2 linked regions of the Arabidopsis thaliana genome follow. The protein of the gene in region 2 purifies or fractionates together with the protein of the main gene of each other region. This does not show direct contact. Each region holds a gene or a part of one and is shown on either strand. Other genes may lie near its edges.

Region 1 (8,073 bases), on a different chromosome or scaffold from region 2:
CATAGACAAGCTAACCAGAATAGAAATTGGGAATAACGCAGACAAACTCAAAACCCTAGAATTGAAGCAATCAGAAGCTATAAAGATCCTAATCACACTCAAAACTTTAACCAGACAACGAATCGTTACACAATGCAAGAAATAGAAGTCGAGAGAGTGAGTGAGAAATAGAAAACCTGTCCCTTGACTTTGAGATTGATGTGAGCTCCTTGGTCAGGCTTCTTGTCTTCTTCCGGAGTAGCAGACATCTTACTTTATTATCAGATTATACGGTCGGCGATTGGAAACAAGAACTTCGATCTGCGATATAAGCGAAGCCCTAAGAGAGATTCGCGGGATTGCAGAACTTGAGGGTTTGAGGGAGAGAGAGAGACTCGGCAGAGAATAAAAAAGACTGAAACCACTATCTTTGGTCGCATCGGATTCTTGTTTATCTAACGGTTCATAATCATTGATCTATATCATTCGACGGCTGTGAGTGAGTATAATCTCTAACTTAAAATGATGTCGTTTTAGCATTCTTAATGGGCTCAAATGGGCTGGTTACTTCTGTGTCTACCCAAGAATTTTAAAATGTGAAAATCTCAGCTTTCGAGTAGATTTGTTTGAGTTGGGAAAAGTGAAGATGTTCAAAGTGAACCGTTTGATTTTGATCAAACCAGTAAAGATTTCAATTGTTTAATATGGTTTTGTTGTGTGACCTTTTACAATTAGCCAACTTGAGTTTTAGAGGTTTTGATGAGTTGTTTATTCACGGTTGTAAAATTAACAAAGTACAAAGATTCTAAAAATCCGTAACCAGATACCATTAATATCATAATTCATAAGATCCAATCACTCATGAGTCATTTACACACACGATAACCGACCATGATTTAAACTTCAAGTAATTTTGCTTGAAGAAAGTAGTCAAATATCACAAAGCCAGCCAAATTATTCCTAATTAAAGCCCATTATGATCGAAAAGCATATAAGACCACTGACGCTGATTTGCTCGTAGACCACCACTCATCGCCCGGCACGCATCTATCACATCTCCATCTTCCATATCAAGCTTTAAAATTGGAGAATCTTGGTTTAGTAAATGATACACTTTTGACAAACATATAAATTGTAAAAGGGAAATGAAAAAGAGAGTGATTTGCCTCATCTGGAGTCTCCAGGCCACCTATACGAGCTCCATTAAAAATGAAAGCGAATGCGTCTAATTTCAAACCTCGGCGGTCGCAGTAAACATACATGAGCTTTTTAAGTGGAGCGCTTTTTTTGTTCTTAAATAAGACTTCGTCTCCATCCTTAGTATCACCAATCAAGAAAAAAGATTTTAATCACTCTATACTTTAGATCATCACAGTTTGGAAAAGAGTATCATCAAAGTTTTCATATCAAGAAACTGTATATATAGTATTATCAACCAAGCAGCAACGACAGAAAATTTCAAGGAGATTAAAGAGGGAACACAGTGAAAAAACCTGGCTCTTGACCTTGAGAATGACATGAGCTTCTTGTTCTTGGTCGATGGGCTTGTCATCTTGAGGGTTAGACATCTTTCCTTTTATCAGATTTTATGAAACAAAAACTCCAGTCTGTGAGAAATACGAAGGCCTGATAGAGAGATTCACAATACAGTATTGCAAAATAAGGGGTTGACTTTTGAGAAAGAGAGACTTGTCAAAAAAGTGACTGAAACCAGTTCTTGATCGCACTCACTTTTGATCTACAGATTCTTGTGGTGATATATCGAACGGCTCATAATCATTGTAGCTTATCATCCGACGGCTAGGAGAGCGTGGAATTCGTACATGAAAACACTGCCGTTTAATCAAGCATTCGTAATGGGCTATTGGGCTGGTTTAAGATCAAATATGCTCATATGTGGGCTTAATTACTTCTACACAGTATATAAAGTTGGAACCCATTTTCGTGAACCGACCAAATAGTTTTTAGAAAATTTATAAATCATATTTAAAAATAAAATCTAATTACCACGGTAATCTAATAATTTCAAAAAAAATACAACAGTTAGAAACTTTTAAAAATCTTAGCAAACATAACTTTTGTGGTATTTTAAAAAGAAACTCAAAATTATGATATTATTTGACAAAGTTTAGGGCAAGCTCTCTTTATAAAATTTATATATTTCTTGATGTTCTAAACTTCTAATGCATGCATGGTTATTATTTAATATTAAAAAATAATGTACGTCGACCGTCATAGTGTGTAAATGGTTAGTCTATGTTTCGTGACGACTTCTATTTCGGCCCGACATAATATATTTCCAGTTTTTAATTTGATAAACTAATAGGCATTGTATCGTAACGTAAAGATCAGGGACAATGCTAACATTCCTATCTAAAACTCAATTTGTTGGACAGCATCCAAGTGACCTACCACATTGAATTCTTTCTCTTGGTTGATAAGAAACTAATAATGATGATGTTATATTTATACGAATATATTAGTTAACGTTTATATTTAGAAATTCGTCATAAACTCATAATAGTTACAAATAAGTCAATCTGAAGGTGACACACCTCTCTGGATATTATAATGTTTTCAATTTTCATATGGACTTGTCATTGTGTTTCATTTTCAATTTCATGTACCGACTTAAGACTTAAGGGCCTTGTCGAAACATACCGTACGATGTCGACAACCTCCATAGATACATTATTAAATTATTGTTACTTTCATAATCCAAAAATTAAATTGTTATACTAAAGTATATGTAAACCAGCATACATTGATACATATAAGATTACCACCTAGTGGACAAGTTGATACACAAACAAAAACATGTATATAATCATCAAATACAATATTACCAAATGATGATGTCTATTATTTTCTCTTTTGATAGTGGAGTTATTATGATGTCTACTCTTAATTAGTTTCATTATTCAGGTCTCAATCACCGAAGATAAAACTATATTTCAAACTGTAGTAGTAATTACCGTATGTGTATTAACATTCTATGCCTATATGTACATAACCGTTAATATTCGGCCACAATTATTAAATTCAAATAAATCTAAAAAGCATCTTTCACCAAGTAATTAGTAAAACTAGCCGTAAATGTCATCCAAAATTCTTGGTTTTACATCAGAAGGAAACATTAATTGCTTAGCGATAGAGTTCTATTTGTATAGGACAACTAAACTCTACAAATATCGTTTTTTGTTTATCCATGGACGGAGATGGACCATTTAGATTAATTCATTATTATACTACTGGAAAATAATTTGAGGTGTTTGCTTAGCTTAGCTAACCTTAAAATGTTCATTTTTCCTCCGCACATCTAAACGCGTTCATTAGCCCAATTTGCTAAGTCAAAATATTAGTTACAACCAACTTGTGAATCAGTCAATGTTACTATCAAATATTTCATATAAATCTATACTTGGATTTACAAATTTATCGAAACATATCTAAACACAATTATTAACATAATAACTCCAACCATTCAAAATAATAATAAAAAGGACGGAATATTTAGGACGTACGAAAAAGAGACGTTGGAAATCAGAGAGCTCAACGTTCAAAATTTGGTACATGTATAGAACAATGAATGACACATGGCCCCATTGTAGATTCTTCATTTCTCGACGAGACCCAGTTACCATTAATTTACATAATAATTCTAATTCCGACCAATCAATGCATCACATTATCGATTAATAATTATCACTCCTCCGACCAGTTTTTTTCACCTATTAATCCTAACTTTAACGGATAATTAGCAGCTGTTTTCAACCAGTGATTAATAGGTATTTATTACCAGCTGATACTACATGTTTTATTTGCCTCAGTGCCCAAATCCCAATAATTATGGAACGTATTAAAAGTGTTGTTGCAAATGCAATTGTATGTCTAAACAAATTCGTTTTGTTATACAATTCATTTTATGCAGAACATAACGTTAATAAAATCCCCCAAAAAAGGAAAAAAGCTGCAGTAAAATCGACCCTAATTAATTAAAAGTGAATGCTAATTTTGGCACGTACCCCCACAATCTCTGACAACATTTGGTACAACAATCTCCAATCAGTACACGACTGAAACGGTCAAATCCACAATTAAAATAATATTTACTTTAGACACGTCATCGAGTTGAAATATTTACATCACAAAACCGTACAGTTAAAAAAAACAAAGTCATCCCCAATATCTCACGTGGGTCCTACCCACTACATCCACCTCCCTCGTTCTCCTTCTTCTTCGTCTCTCTATATAAACACCATCTTTAGCTTCTCCTTCACCGGAATACAAAAACTGAAACCTTTCTCTATTTATCTCTCTATACACAACAATGGCGGTCTTCGTTTTATCTCTACTCATACTCTCTTCCTTCTCAGCCATTCCATTCACTTATGCAGGTTAGTTCTCATTTTCATCATCTCTCCACAGAGTTTAGTTTGTTTGGATTCTGATGTCTTTGTTTGTTTTTGTCTTCTTATCAGATTCTGGAATGATCGGAGTTAACTACGGCCGTATAGCAGACAATCTTCCGGCACCGGAGAAAGTAGTTGAGCTACTGAAAACACAAGGAATCAACCGCATCAAGCTTTACGACACCGAGACAACTGTACTAACCGCACTCGCGAACTCCGGAATCAAAGTCGTTGTCTCTCTCCCCAACGAAAACCTCGCTTCCGCCGCCGCAGATCAGAGCTACACCGACACTTGGGTTCAGGACAACATAAAGAAGTACATTCCAGCGACGGATATCGAAGCAATCGCCGTTGGGAACGAAGTGTTCGTCGATCCGAGGAACACGACGACGTATCTCGTTCCAGCTATGAAGAATGTTCAAAGCTCTCTCGTCAAGTTCAATCTCGACAAATCCATTAAGATCTCGTCGCCGATTGCTTTAAGCGCGTTGGCGAGTTCGTATCCACCGTCGGCTGGTTCGTTTAAACCGGAGTTAATCGAACCGGTTATTAAACCGATGCTTGATCTCCTCCGCAAAACGTCGTCGCATCTTATGGTGAATGCTTATCCTTTCTTTGCTTACGCAGCTAACGCCGATAAGATCTCGTTGGATTACGCGTTGTTTAAGGAGAACGCCGGGAATGTTGATTCCGGTAACGGTTTGAAGTATAACAGTCTCTTAGACGCTCAGATCGACGCCGTTTTCGCCGCAATGTCCGCCGTTGGATTTAACGACGTTAAGCTTGTGGTGACAGAGACAGGCTGGCCTTCTGCCGGAGACGAGAACGAGATTGGTGCTGGTTCGGCTAACGCGGCGGCGTATAACGGCGGGTTAGTTAAAAGAGTGTTGACGGGAAACGGAACGCCGTTAAAACCGAAGGAGCCACTAAACGTTTATCTGTTCGCTCTGTTTAACGAGAATCAGAAAACGGGTCCGACTTCTGAGAGAAACTACGGGTTGTTTTACCCAAACGAGAACAAAGTGTATGACGTTTCGCTCAACGGTAAGTCAACGCCGGTCAACGATAACAAAGAGAAGGTTGTTCCGGTGAAACCGTCGCTCGTGGGACAGACGTGGTGTGTGGCGAATGGTAAAACGACGAAGGAGAAGCTTCAGGAAGGTCTCGACTACGCTTGTGGCGAAGGAGGTGCTGATTGCCGTCCGATTCAACCGGGTGCCACGTGTTATAATCCTGAATCGTTAGAAGCTCACGCTTCCTACGCGTTCAACAGTTACTATCAGAAGAACGCACGTGGAGTTGGCACGTGTAATTTTGGTGGTGCAGCGTACGTGGTCTCGCAACCTCCTAGTAAGTACCCTATCTTTCCTCTCCAAAATTTTATTTTGATTAGTAAGTATTTTGCATATACAGTATAGTTATTTTCACGTTCTTAATAGTTGGAAGATGGTTAGATAATAATTATGGGAGTTGGGATGGTTTAACAACAAATGTTATTTTTTTGGGCTTCACTTACGTATACAGATTTATAATTAAATTGTGACGTATAGACGGAAACGTAAACTAAATTAATTATTTTTTGTTGGTTATGTGTTTGTAGAGTATGGGAAATGCGAGTTTCCAACAGGGCATTGAAATGGATATAGAGAAGAAGAGGATCGTGCGGATTTATTTACGTTATTTATTTTGATACATTGTTCTTTTGTCATTCGAGTATATGATTTGCGTATATTTATTTTTATTATTGTATATTTGGTTGGTTTCATCGGATAAATAGTCAGATTTTCTTTCCCCCTTAAGCCTTAACTTCTTTGCTCGTGAGTTTATAAAACTGACAAAACTTTGTTGATATAAACCATTATATCCTGCAACTGATCCAATAAACAACATTGCAATATTATTTTCAAAATCTCAAATTGATTCGTTTTGCTGGTGATCAACTGATCATGATCCAAGCAAAACTCAACAGTATATATTGTCCATATTGTTTCATTCCAATACTCCAGAGTCAAAACCTTGAGCTGCCTACTTCATCAAACTTGATTAGCGCCTACCATCAATTGAGCTACGACTACACTACCAACTCCCATATAGAAGCCTGTAACTCGAAAAATGGGTTTTGAGTTATAGTTTGTCACAAAGCTCTGTGAATACATTATACTACATGAAAACTCATCAAGTCTTTTGATATGGAATCTTCAGAACCAAGAATAGCTTTAATGCTTTTATAGTTGTGAAGTCTGTTATTATTCTATTACTGAATGTGTATTCTCCTCCAGAAATATCTAAGATCTTAGATGAGTCAGTTTAGACGTTTTAAATAGCAAGAATGTTCTGCTTTTTTATGTCATTTTAAAAAGCTTAAGGTTTTGGATTGTAAGCATCGTGTGGTTGCTAATCGAACTTCCTTCCCTTTGCATTATTGAGATAGTGTACTCGCAAAACACGGTGGCAATTTAACCAAAACATAGTACAAACACGGTTTCAAAATTTTAAAAACAAAACCATATACAGTACTTGATTACCATCCCAAGACTTACATATTCTTAGATGGACTATGAGTCTATGGCTTTTTCTTCAACTACTACCAACTTGAACTTCTCCTCCAAACCAATTAAGTGGGCTTTCAATTGGTCATGCCTTCTTTCCATATCACGAGTTTCTTCTAGCCAGCGGGAGTGATTTGATGGAAAGGTGGTCGCATTCGTGGAGTATGCTTTTGTAAGTCTTGATTGGAAAAGCTGTAAACAATGCTCTTTCTGAAATATTGAGGGCTAGCTTTGGATCGCGCCATCGCGGCTAACTCTTGGCAACACCAATGGCTTCCTTGTGTCTTCTTCCATCAAAGCGTGTTCCTTTCATTAATTACATTCTCTTTTGTGGCCTTCTATTATATTGTTGCGTAGTTTTCAGTCTTTTATTTCTCTTCGTTGTATCTCCGTGTTATGTAAAAAATCTAAAATTTCGTATAAAACTTTAAATTTTACCAAAAAAATAATTAAAAACAGACAAATTCTTTAGAAATAAAATCTAACACCTTTTATATTTTCTTCATAAACAATTGAACCAAAAAAAAAAACTCAAATCCAACTCCTCTCCCCTATAAAACTCTATCTTATTGATGATTTTGCTCAAAATGTAGTAGTAATAACAATGACGAGGCCTATGATGGATCAGGATTCAGGAGAGCATTTTGGGCCGGATCCGGATCCGGATCCGGATCTGAGCCTGGATCCAATTCTAGATTACCGGGTTTGAGTATCTGCGTCATTCCTAAGCTCACTATACTCTCTGTTTAAAAAAACCTATCTCTCTCTCTCTCTCTCGCCGCCTTCCTCTCACCCTCTTCGCATAGCTTCACTTTCGCCGATGGTAAAATTATCTCTCCTTCTTTGCGTTGATCTACTTATCTCTCGATCCTACTTTGAAATTCTTAGGGTTTAACATTATATTCGATCTCGCGTGATCTGTTGATTTTGTCTCATCGTTATTTTGACATAATTGTCAGGCTCTACCTAACCAGCAAACCGTGGATTACCCTAGCTTCAAGCTCGTTATCGTTGGCGATGGAGGCACAGGTACCCAATCCCTAGCTTCATCTTTCTTTTGTTTTAGAAATATATACAGAGAATTGATTTAGTTCTATTTCAGAAACTCGATTTTGGATCAAATTGCTTTGATA
Region 2 (11,381 bases):
ATGAAAGAGACGCACCCAAAAGACAGAGGCACAAAAGCTAAGACGCAACAGCAACATTGGGGTCTTGGTAGTTGTTGTATGAATGGCCATTTCCTCCACCACCACCACCACCACGTCCCCTTCCTCTGTTGTTGTAGTAGTTCCTTTGATAACCGTTTCCACCAGATTGATCATAAGATTCGTACCGCCCATTCTGGTAGCCACCACCACCACCTCGTCCTCCTCGCCCATTCTGATAGCCACCACCACCTCTTCGAGCACCTCGACGACCTCTTTGGTTCTGGTAAGACCCACGTGGCACATAGTCTCTTTTAGCATTCTCTGCTCCTCCCACCTGAGTATAGCCCTGTTCTTGCTGTCCATGGACCACCTCTCCTTCGGTCACTAACTCAACCTTCACAACAAAACAATATCATCAGATTCATCCTTGAGTAACTCATTGAAAGATGATTCGAGCTCTACAATTCACTGGATTACCTTTTGATGCTCATCTTGTTGAGATTGATCATTAACAACTGATTCTACTTCTTTGGAATTTGATGCATCTTCTTCCTGTAAACAGGGAATATCAGACCCACATAAATCATTAGAGACCACATGGGAGGGATTTATGTTCTCTAATTCATATAATGAGACACACCGAAACATGTCAACATTCACTACAGTGAAGACACATATTGTCACAGTTTGTTAACATCGATCACATGTATAAACAAAAATATATTGACAGCTCATATCGTAGACCCACCACAAAGATTATTCTAACCAGGATAGAGTTCTCCAAATACCAAGAGAACAGTCGAAAAATCAAATAAGCAACAGGCCATATCAAAAATTAAGAATGTACTTCTCCATCCTATCCAAACAACTTAACTCACTAATGATCTCATACCACATCTCACTCTAATGCTGCATAATTCAACTTCAGACATCTTCTACTTTATAGGAGAAACAATAATAAACTCTGAATCCTTGAAAATTAAGCTCAATCTCACCACAACTAAAGAAATGTGATTGTTAATTTCCTCCTTCAGATTAAGTAAGAGCTTTGCATACCACAAAGCCCTGAACTATATAGTATGTAATGAATCAGAACAACTAGTCCGCGAAATTCACTACCAATTTGATGAAAGTCAGAGACTTCAGGAAATCAACAAAACCTAATCTAAAGTGGATACCTTTTGCTGGTAATGCCCTGAAGCCTCCACGTCCACAGGCACCTGGTAAGAAGTATAGTTACCAGCTGCAGCCGCCACATCAACCGGAGCTTTCATTTCCGGAGTAGTGGTGAAATAGTCAGACGCCATAATCTTCTTCAACTTCTCTCTCAATGCAGCATCTGCATCACAAATCTAAGTAATCAACACAGAGAAACTAAAACACAGAGATGTAAGAGACAAACAGATTTAGGAATTTTTATTTTACATGAAGTATTGCAGTTTGATTCGATTGGCTGCTCGGAATTAGCTAACCATAGCTTAGCGTGCTCAACACAACGCTCCAAAGCGTTCTTGTGAGATAAGCTTGAATCCACCGGACGAGAAACCATCAGGCTCCAAAGCTGAGAAATAGAATCCAAATCCCGATCGCCGAGGAGATCAGTGGCATCATCGGTAACGTAATCGTAAGACAAGCAGCAACTTCTCTCATGAGTCCTGGTCAACATTATCGAAGTGAACTCGTTCTGTGACTTGACGTCGAAGAGTGAACCAAAGTAGAGGAAATTCACCAGATCCTCCAACTTAGCGCCATCATCGCCGCCGCTAACTTCCTGCGGGATATCAGTGACTTCCTTTTGCTCAGATGCGGTGGTTTGATCGGATGAAGCACGGTTAAGCTGAGTAGCGAGGCTGATTTCCTCTGTCACAGCGGCGGAGAGAGGAGCACGGATCTTTTCAAGCTCGTCGATTAGGATGACGACGGCAGGTTTAGAGCGGAGGACTTCTTCTTGCTCCTTGTTTAGGGTTTTGCCTTGAGAAATCGATTCTTCCATTTGAGTGATTCGGTTGTATTTCTTACGGAGAGCACGGAGACGCTTGTTGATGAGACCCATCACTGGTCCTTCAGAAGCTTCGGAGGAAGCAGTGGCGGCCATGATTATGGATTTGTGTAGGATTGTCGATAAAAAGAGGATCGAACTGACCGTATAGAAAATTCACCACCGTTGAGTAGCGGCGGCGGCAGTGGCGGAACAAGAGGAGGATTTGTTAGGGTTTTCAGAGAAATGGGGATAAGTTGAAGCGTCTGGTTTTTGGGTAGTGATAGTTTTGAGCTAAATATATAATAATTGATGAAAAATTCCAGTAATGCAAGTGAAATTATCCGTCTCAAAACAAAAGGAAAAAAATAAATAAATAGGAGTGTTCTATTTTCAACTATTTTGTGTAGATTTTTTCAAATTATTTTTGTGGATTACGTTTCTTGTATAAAAAAATTATTTGTCAATTTATTATTAGTTACTTGGAATGACATAGGGTATTTGTATTATTTTAAAATTGTATCAAGAGGCACTCTCTTTTCCTAAATGCAATACTTAATTTTATTAGTAAATATACCATTTAAAAGGGTAATATGTAAATAGGTAATTTTTGAAATACCATGTATATAATGACAAGTACATAGGTAATTTTTGAAATATCATGTAAATAATGAGTTTTAAGTTAAGAAATGAAATACGGTATTGTTACATAATAAAAACAGTTTGAAATTAAGATATTATCAAAGTTGTTAGGATATTGGGAAATATTCCACTTTTTTGGTGTACTTTAGATTCAATTTTATTCTAGATCCTTCTAGATACATAATGTTGTTTAAATATTCTGTAAGTAATTAGAAAACTCCAATCGTAGTATCGTACGTTTTTTTTTTTTTTTTCGTCAACGTAGTATCGTACGTATACATTAGGAATTATTCCTCTTTTTGTATATTCATTCTGTATATGACTTGATATTAAGGTCTTCGTATGCTTCATGATTTGTATTTTATGTTTAACGATAGCTTAATGGATACTTTAACTTGGAGATAGTTTCAACTTCTAACCCCTTTAACATTCGTGAATTGTGACAACAAAGTATTTATAAGATTTCTTGTCACAACTATCGTCTACTGGTCACTAAATCACTATATTAAGATAGGTGATTATTCTGATTTGGTTGTTCACGTCATCCAAACTAAATTTGGCTACATTCGAGTCATAATCTCCATTTACTAGTGAATAACTTATAAGAAATTAATGATTTTTGTTTATGAATCCATGCTCACACAAATAAACCCCCAAAATCCAAATGTTCGTTTACAAAGAAATCGCTTATTTACAAAAACAAACTTGTATTATATTCCCCCAAAAAATAATTTATAAGTCCTTCCTATTATCAAAACTCTTACAAATAGTCTATAGATTAAGCAAGGTTCATGTGCCGACGCCTTTTTTCAATCTATGTAACAACGAGTCTTGTACCAACTACCAACTCTTACTATCTTCTTATACGGTTCATATCATATGCTTCACCAAACAATCACACAATCACTCATTTCTAATTGTCTCGGGTCGATTCTAGAGGCTCGCGCTGGAGGGTAGTAAAATGACATGCAATGTTCCGTTGTTAGGAGGAAGTTGCAAACGAAGAGGAAACAGCTTGCCGTTTAAAGGACTACGAGTACACACCACAGCGTCTTCCATGCACGTTTCTTCTCGCAATGTCTGAGTCAGCTCCGCCACGCTATTTCCTTTAAACGTGAAAGCATATCCAACGGTTGTTTCATCTTCCACGTGTCCTTCCTCGTCAGCGACATGGTAATATATGGTTCGTCCATCAGATTTAGGCGGAGACTCAACCGACTGGTCAAAATCAAAATCAAAATTTTCAATAACCGGAAAACGGTACAACTGTAATTTTAAACAAAACCAAAGGTGTTTTAGGAATTTAGGAAAAGTACTCACATCTGAATCGGATCTGTCTGAAAGAGAAGACGAAGTCCTTGGAGACTCAGCCGACAACGGCGAACTCGTCGGTCTCCGATGCGGCGGTGGAGACGTCGTCTTCGGTGGCGGCGCTTTCGCAGACTCCGTCTTGAATTCGGAATCAGTCAAGATCTCAACAACATCAACATCCCAAGAAATCGAATCCTGAGTAGCAGACAAATGAGGAACGTCGTGTGTGACCGAGTTTCTCCAAGGAGGAAGACCACCATTACCTCGTAAATAGTTACCAGATCTAGTCCTAAGCTTAATCTTAGACCCTTCTCTAAGCGGTTCCCACTCAACAGACGAATCAACCCGACTCAGTTTCAACTGAATCACTTTCTTCCCCGTAGCCCCGAGCAAGAACCGCTCGTTAGAAGCGGTTAAGTACTTACCGTAACAGCTTTTAAGACGAATAACATGGAAAGAATCACGAACCGGTTCGACGGTCCATCGAGCGTTTTTGGTAGATCCGTTACGGTTTTGAGTTACGGTTTCTTCATCGTCGTCTGCTGTTAGATACTTGTTGTGACTGTTACGCATTCGAATAGCTTTTGCTTTCTGGAAAAATTCCATTGCTGAGACAGATACTGGTGTTTCTTTTTGGTTGAAGCTACTCGCCGTCGACTTCTGTAACAACAGAGAAGGGGAAATGAGCGAATAGTGATAAGAAGAAGAAGAAGAAGAAGTGAGAGATATGGTTATTTTATATGTGTGGTGGATCTGACACTGGACTGGTCTAAATTGGGTTTTTTAGTTTTTTACGGTTACGCGGACTAGGTAAGGTAAGAAATCTGGAAAAGTCGTTGCTAGCTGGATTAGAGCGCGTATCTAATATCCACGTCAGCAGAAATTTATGATTTGGATTTCTTTCCTTATTAGTATTTGTTAGAGCTTGTAACGCGTTGTTGTTTCACGTGTTTTGGATTTTGTTACTTTGTAATGTTTGTAAATCTTGAGATTAAAGTTAATTACGAGGATTCCAAGACACCAACTATTGTTAATTTAAACAGATTTTCAAGAAACAAAGCAGGATTTAGATTGTAACTAAAGTTTGTATTTGATTATATATAAAAAAATCAATGCTTTGAATTTTTCTTTAAAAAATTTGGTGTTAAATCTTATAGGAGAAGATGAAAAAAATTGGCCTTAAATTGTGTTTTATTTTTCTATATATCTATTAATTACTACAATGACTTTGTGAAAACTTTTATCAGTTGGAACAATTTTCTCTTACATATCTTCCAATCATTCATGATGTTTATTTCAGATTCTTCAATTCATAGAAGATTTAAACATAATACTAGGAGTCAATGTTGACTATTGAAGATTCATTTGAAATAATAATAAAAGGTATGGTACATACATTTGGTAAACTTTTATTTGCTATGTATATAATAATCTATATGAAGAGAATAAATTACGATAGAGATAGGTAACCAAATTTCCCAATAAAGTATCATTTTACATTGTTACTCTATACTTTTTCCATTATCTTTTAATTTTTCAGTACGTATTTAGTTCTATGATAAGATCAAAATCGGAACTAATGGACGTAATTCTTGATGAATAATATGTGATTTTCAGTTAGATTATAAGCAATTATGTGGTATAAGCAAATCAATATTAAATGGAAAATATTGAAAAATATAAATAAATAATTAAAAAGATAAAAGTATATGCCCTTTTCCCCAAAAATAATAGTGTCCCTATGCCATAAAAGAATGGATCGAAAAGATAGGATTTAAGCGAATATTTAGAAAATAAATCTATAAACCCTTGCCCGCAAGAAAGACCAAGAGAGGAAATTCATGAGTGTGGGACTCTCCTAATTGCATCCCTGGACCATATGCTCCATCACTAAATCATAACTACCAACTTTTTTACCTTACTTTTTGTTACACTTGTCTTATGTTAACTGGCACTAGATTTGTTTATCTTAAGCCATTAGGTACAAGTTTTTATTGTTAAGGAATAATAATCGTATTTTTCTTCTTTAATCATCCTTAGGTATAGCTTTTGTAAGAAATATACAGTCACTTAGTTACATTTTAGAGGTTCTACTACAAGCATTTCAAAACTATCCTTCAATCATTGAAGTAAACTTAAGTTGGATTGTTAAGTGTCATATTTTCAACTATAGTCTATTATAATAGATAAACTAATCAAAACTATACAATTAAAAAATCCTATACATTTTGGTGGTATTAGGTTGGTAAAACGATGTGTGTGCTTGTGGAGCATTATCTATGTTAGTGGAGAAAAGAAATGATACAGATCATGTAATTTTCTTTAAATTGTAGATACTAATACGGGTAATCCTCATCTTTTTTTCCATATGTTCATGCATGCCAACTAATTTCTTATATACAGAATTGTCTAAGTTCAACTCACAATAATAAATTTCTATATTAGCCTTAATTTAAACACAGAAATTAAGAAAAACTAATCAATGCACACTGAATAAAAGACTTAGTCAAACTTACCGGTTTTGAGGACCATCTCGGAGACGTAGATAAACCAAGAGAAGCAAACCGGCTAATACTACTCTTCGTAGACCTGGCAGAAACAGGTGACCCGGGTTCTGATCCGAATTCAGACCCGACCGGAGAAGAAACAGAGCTTTCATCACCATCAGACATGTTTTCAAGATCAGAACCATCAATAGTTATAACATCCCAAATCAACCAGTTCTTTGTCTTTGACGTATGAGGCTCATCGTGAGTAACAGAGTTTCTCCACGGCGGCGTTCCACCGTTAGCCCTCATCCACTTACCGCACCAAGATTTTAGCTTCACCTGAAACCCATCTCGCTCCGGTTCCCACTGCGTTTGCCAATCCATCAGCTTGTTAAACGACGCCGTTTGAGTCACTTTCTCACCGGTCATACCTAACAATAACGGTTTGTTGCTCGCCGTTAAGTACGTGCCGTGGCTGCTCTTTAACCTTATCAGATTAGGTTTATCGACGACGGGCTCCACCGTCCAAACGGCACGCCGTGCATCTCCTTTACGGCTTTGACGGATGGTTTCTTGGTCATCGTCGGCGACTAAAAACTTATCTAGGTGGCTACGTAACTTAACGTTGTTACCTTTTGTGAATAGCTCCATTTTTTCTTTTGCTTGAGATTTTGAAAGAAGAAGAAACAAAAACAGAGAATTTTAAGTTTGTGAAATGAAGGAGAAAGATGATGTTTGTGTTTGGTTATATAGTTTAATGACAAAAAAATAAGACAGAAAAAGCCTGGCTAAAAGGGTACTTTGTAAGTTAATAGTCGGAGGGATTATGCAGCTCGCAATTATTTAGAAATTTCGCAAAATCAAATGAAGAAAAGACTAATGAAAAAGTATTACGAAGGTTCTCCTCCACCTACGTAACTTGTTGAACATTTTACCTCACGCGCGTAAAGAACGTGATGTGAAGACTTTGATAGAAAATGTCTTAGGTTGTGGTTCAATGTTGGTTCTTTGTTTAAACCGGTATCCGGTTATAGTATAAGGTTTTATGGATGTGATTACAGTCCTGTGTGCGTGATAACTGATAAGTGTCTTTTGATCCCTCTAGTAATGAGTCTATGGACCTTATCGTCGATAAATCCGCACCATAATTCAAATCTTATCAATGTAAATTTGAGAATTTAAATTAATGAGGGAAATGTAAACTCATAGATTCATGAAAACCATGACGATCATGTAATATTGATGAAAGATCAGTTCAGCTAGTTAAATTATGTTATATGTAGCTCCATAATTGAATGGAATAATTATATAATCATAGAAGAAATCAGAATACTACAATAAAACTTCATATTAAATGTTGTGAAAAGAATGTATTTATGAAGAGGTAATGTAGAGCGCGTGGGCTTATTGTGTAGAATTGTCTCTTTTCCGTAGATAGAACCAAGAAAGTCATGAAGTAGACTTGTGAATATTTGTGTAGAATAATTTAGGATTAGTACATTTTCTAAACAGTTGCATATAAATAGATCTAGATACACACAACACATTGCCTTGTTATATACGTGTGACTCCTATCTTTCTGGATAAGCCGAAAAGTATTGATATCAGATTTTTTGGCAACATGTCATAGTTGAGTTTTTAATTTTTTTATATCCATTGGTTGGCTTATGTGGCCGACGTAGGGCTTTGAGAGACTCGGTCTTAATTTGTACCTTCCACACCAAATAAATATATTGGTTTGTTTTCCGGAGAACTCATGAAATTTCAATGTTTTTAGGTGACGCATGTAACTACAAGTCTTAACACTAATTTGTTTATAGTGAATTTCAGAAACATATTAGACGTCTGGTCATTGGTGTATTTTATATGGTATGAGAAAATCACTATAAGATCAACCTTATAAATTCATGGAAGTTTCACGACTTCTTGTTTAAGTGATACACTGATGCATGTAATTTACATGATGTGGATGTGGTTTCGGGTCTGGAGAGCTTACGGGTTTCGGTTCAGAACCTCTTAGTATTAAAAAAAAAAAAGTTACAAGTTTTTAGATATTAAATTACGAAATTAATGTTGGAAGCTTGGTGTAAATTATAAGATATATGTTCGAAAAAAATAATTAATTTTATCAGCCTTTTTGAAAAAATTTATATAGAATTTGCGATACAGTCACTTGACATTTTGGAGATCAATAATGTGGTATTCAATTTTTCTTTGAATGTTATTGAAATAATCTCGTGTATAGGACTAAGATTTAAGTCATTTTATTATTAAAATATAAAATATCTTTATTAAGATAAAAAAAAGTTGCATGTTAAAAATCATATAAAAAATGCAGAAATGGGCGTCCCCTAATCCTTAGACATGTTTCCATGTCGCAATTGAACAACATATCTAACTGTAACATACAGCTTTCAAGATCCATTTTAATGGTCTTCTAGTAGTTTTTTTCTCATAAACATCTTTATAAAATACTAATACAAAGTCAATAGAATGTAAATTTCAATTATATTAACAAAATTATTATTATTCTTATGCATTGACCATAACCATTGACTTATTATAAAACAACAAGACAAATGCCGTTTTGGCGATCAAGCAGACTTGAAATATGAAGATTCCAATGCTTTTGCTTTCTTACCTGCACTTATACCAGCTTTTTCCTTGCCTTCCATTGAGTAACTCTCTTCCTGCCAAAAGAAAGTCAACGTTTCATAAACTGTAGACGTATATGAATCAACTTGTCTTGTCTGGTCATATAAATGACTTACCAGCAAACGCCACAAGAAAGGAGCACCATCTCTCTGTTTGGTCACCTTCTCTAGTACTTCAATAGCTGCAGGTTCGGGTGTTGTAAACGCAGAGTTAGTAGCTGAGAAAACGAAGATATAGCCGAAGTATATGGATATAATAGTGTTTTTGAGGAGTGTACCAGTTGAAGATTTGCCGTTGAGTAACAGCAACTTGTACCAGATTTCATTAAAAACATCCATCTGTAAACCCGATCCTCCAATCACCTATATCGTCACCAAAAGAGACAATAGCATTTGCTGTGTATTCTTCAATAAGTTTTGATTTGACATATATCTTATAAGAACATCGCATTACCTTATAGTTAGCAGCGTCAAAGTCTAATCCAAGCAGTTCTAAAGCTATCTCGTAGTTTCCTTTCCCGTATTCATAAACAGCTTCAGCAAGCTGATTTGAAAGAAAGAAAAAGACGGTTCTTATGATATGACATAGAACTCAAAAAAGTCTCCATAATTGTAAATCAGGATCAGCAAGAACAGACCAGAATCGCTTTCTGCATCAGCTTTTGTTTCTTCGGGTTCATAGCGGATGTTCTGTTAGAGTAATAATATTAGCCAGATGATAAGTCAAGAGACAAAACTCTCCATTTGGAAAAAATGTCACAAATGAGAAAGCGGTAGTACTGACCGGGACTTGAGGCCCTCGAGCAATTCATGTGCTAGTGAAGTTTTTTCAACTTTACTCAATGCCCAAATTGTCGTAATATCAAAAAGCCAGTCTTGATACCACATTGCCTGAACATTCGAAGTTGCACAAATCGTTATTAAAAGAAGAGCAAAATAAATGTATATGAACGCAAGGGCAAACAAGTGCATCACTTACTTTATCAGTCAAAGAGTCTGCCAGTTTCTCTAGTCTGTCCTGAAACCCATCATCTAGTTTACCGCGTGTGTCTAAACGCAACAACAAACCAAGAGCATCCGTATAAACCTGATGTGTAATAGTACAAGTATAAAACATCAGATTGCTAATGGAAGTTCAGTTTTTAAGGGGAAGAAAAATGATAAGGGAATTACATCTCTAGCAACAGCATCGTCTTTCTCCAGCTCTTTCCACATCTGATGATCATATACTTCTTCTACCTTACTTATGTGAGACCCTCCTTCCAAGTAACAAACAGCTACGTGCCACCAATTATGCGAAAACCTAATTAAAATGTTCAAAAATTATCTAGTTTTCTTTAGCAGGTGATTCCAGAGATGATCAGAAGATGGTTCTTACTTGTTTGTAAATGCTATTACCTTAAGGATGAGCAAGAATCCCATGAATCTGAGTGTTCTTCCATGAACTTTACTGCTTCTTTAAAACGACATTCAGTTTGAAGAACATGACATAACTGCCAAAAAGAGACATTATTAATGACATTTTGTATATGGATTACCAAGTAACAACAAAAGACCGGGACAATAAGTGTTGGAAACTCACGGCGTGATGAGCCCAAGAATCGTTTTCGTTGATCTCACAGCCTTTCCTAGCAGCTTCCTCAGCTTCTCTCAAATGTCCAAGCTCAATTAAACAGAATGCAAGCATACCATTAACATAAACTTGGCCTTCATTCTGCGGTAGAATCTGCCAAGTTTACGTTGTTCAGTGAGGGAAGTCAATTAATCAAAGATAGTGATAACAAAGATCATGTTTCATTTATAAGTCATGAGGTATCCATCAATTTGATTTCAACATCTTACATACCTTCCGGAAAAGAGGCAAAGAGAGATCGTGTCGACCCATGTAGGAACACAGAGTCTCTACTCTCTTCCAAGATAGCAAATCTTTCGGGAACTTTTTCAAGAGCTGCAAAACATAAAAGAGTTATATACAAGAGTTATAATAACTGCGTCAAAGGAAAGATATATCAAGCTATAGCAAGAAGAACTAATAAGAACAAGAAGCCAAGAAATATCCTAACCTTAGAGTGTAACTCCAAAGCCACATCGTCGTCCATATTCTCAGAGAGTAAGTAACTAACAGCCTCGAAAACTGCCTTCTCATACAGTGTGGCTTTCCCCTAAAACCAATGAATTTCAGAGAGCTCAATGACACCAAACTCATAAAGTATCACGGATTATAGACATGGGATAGCTACAGAGCATCATTTGTTTCACTTAGAATGAATCATAGACACTAAAAGAGATAACAAGGTAGAGCTTACA

Evidence for each region.
Region 1: the proteins of AT1G27100 (region 2) and SUMO3 purify together in Arabidopsis thaliana (affinity purification with western blotting, with the first as the bait; one study listed by BioGRID). This does not show direct contact.

The regions. Positions count from the first base shown.
Region 1 is NC_003076.8:22,384,525-22,392,597, forward strand, and holds SUMO3 (small ubiquitin-like modifier 3), read right to left. Parts: upstream 1,682-8,073; 5' UTR 1,548-1,681; coding exon 1,473-1,547; intron 1,296-1,472; coding exon 1,146-1,295; coding exon of another isoform or gene 1,055-1,145; coding exon 944-1,054; 3' UTR 733-943; downstream 1-732. Other genes in the region: SUMO2 (small ubiquitin-like modifier 2), read right to left, coding at 177-248; AT5G55180 (O-Glycosyl hydrolases family 17 protein), read left to right, coding at 4,310-4,376, 4,461-5,745, 5,992-6,037; RAN3 (RAN GTPase 3), read left to right, coding at 7,761-7,763, 7,900-7,969. UniProt on the Arabidopsis thaliana protein: Ubiquitin-like protein which can be covalently attached to target lysines as a monomer. Does not seem to be involved in protein degradation and may function as an antagonist of ubiquitin in the degradation process.
Region 2 is NC_003070.9:9,404,004-9,415,384, forward strand, and holds AT1G27100 (Actin cross-linking protein), read right to left. Parts: upstream 7,366-11,381; 5' UTR 7,072-7,365; coding exon 6,448-7,071; intron 4,592-6,447; coding exon 3,941-4,591; intron 3,839-3,940; coding exon 3,554-3,838; 3' UTR 3,082-3,553; downstream 1-3,081. Other genes in the region: AT1G27090 (glycine-rich protein), read right to left, coding at 38-394, 478-552, 1,179-1,339, 1,426-2,095; AT1G27110 (Tetratricopeptide repeat (TPR)-like superfamily protein), read right to left, coding at 9,015-9,110, 9,192-9,256, 9,353-9,437, 9,529-9,618, 9,713-9,764, 9,859-9,965, 10,054-10,161, 10,248-10,377 and 5 more.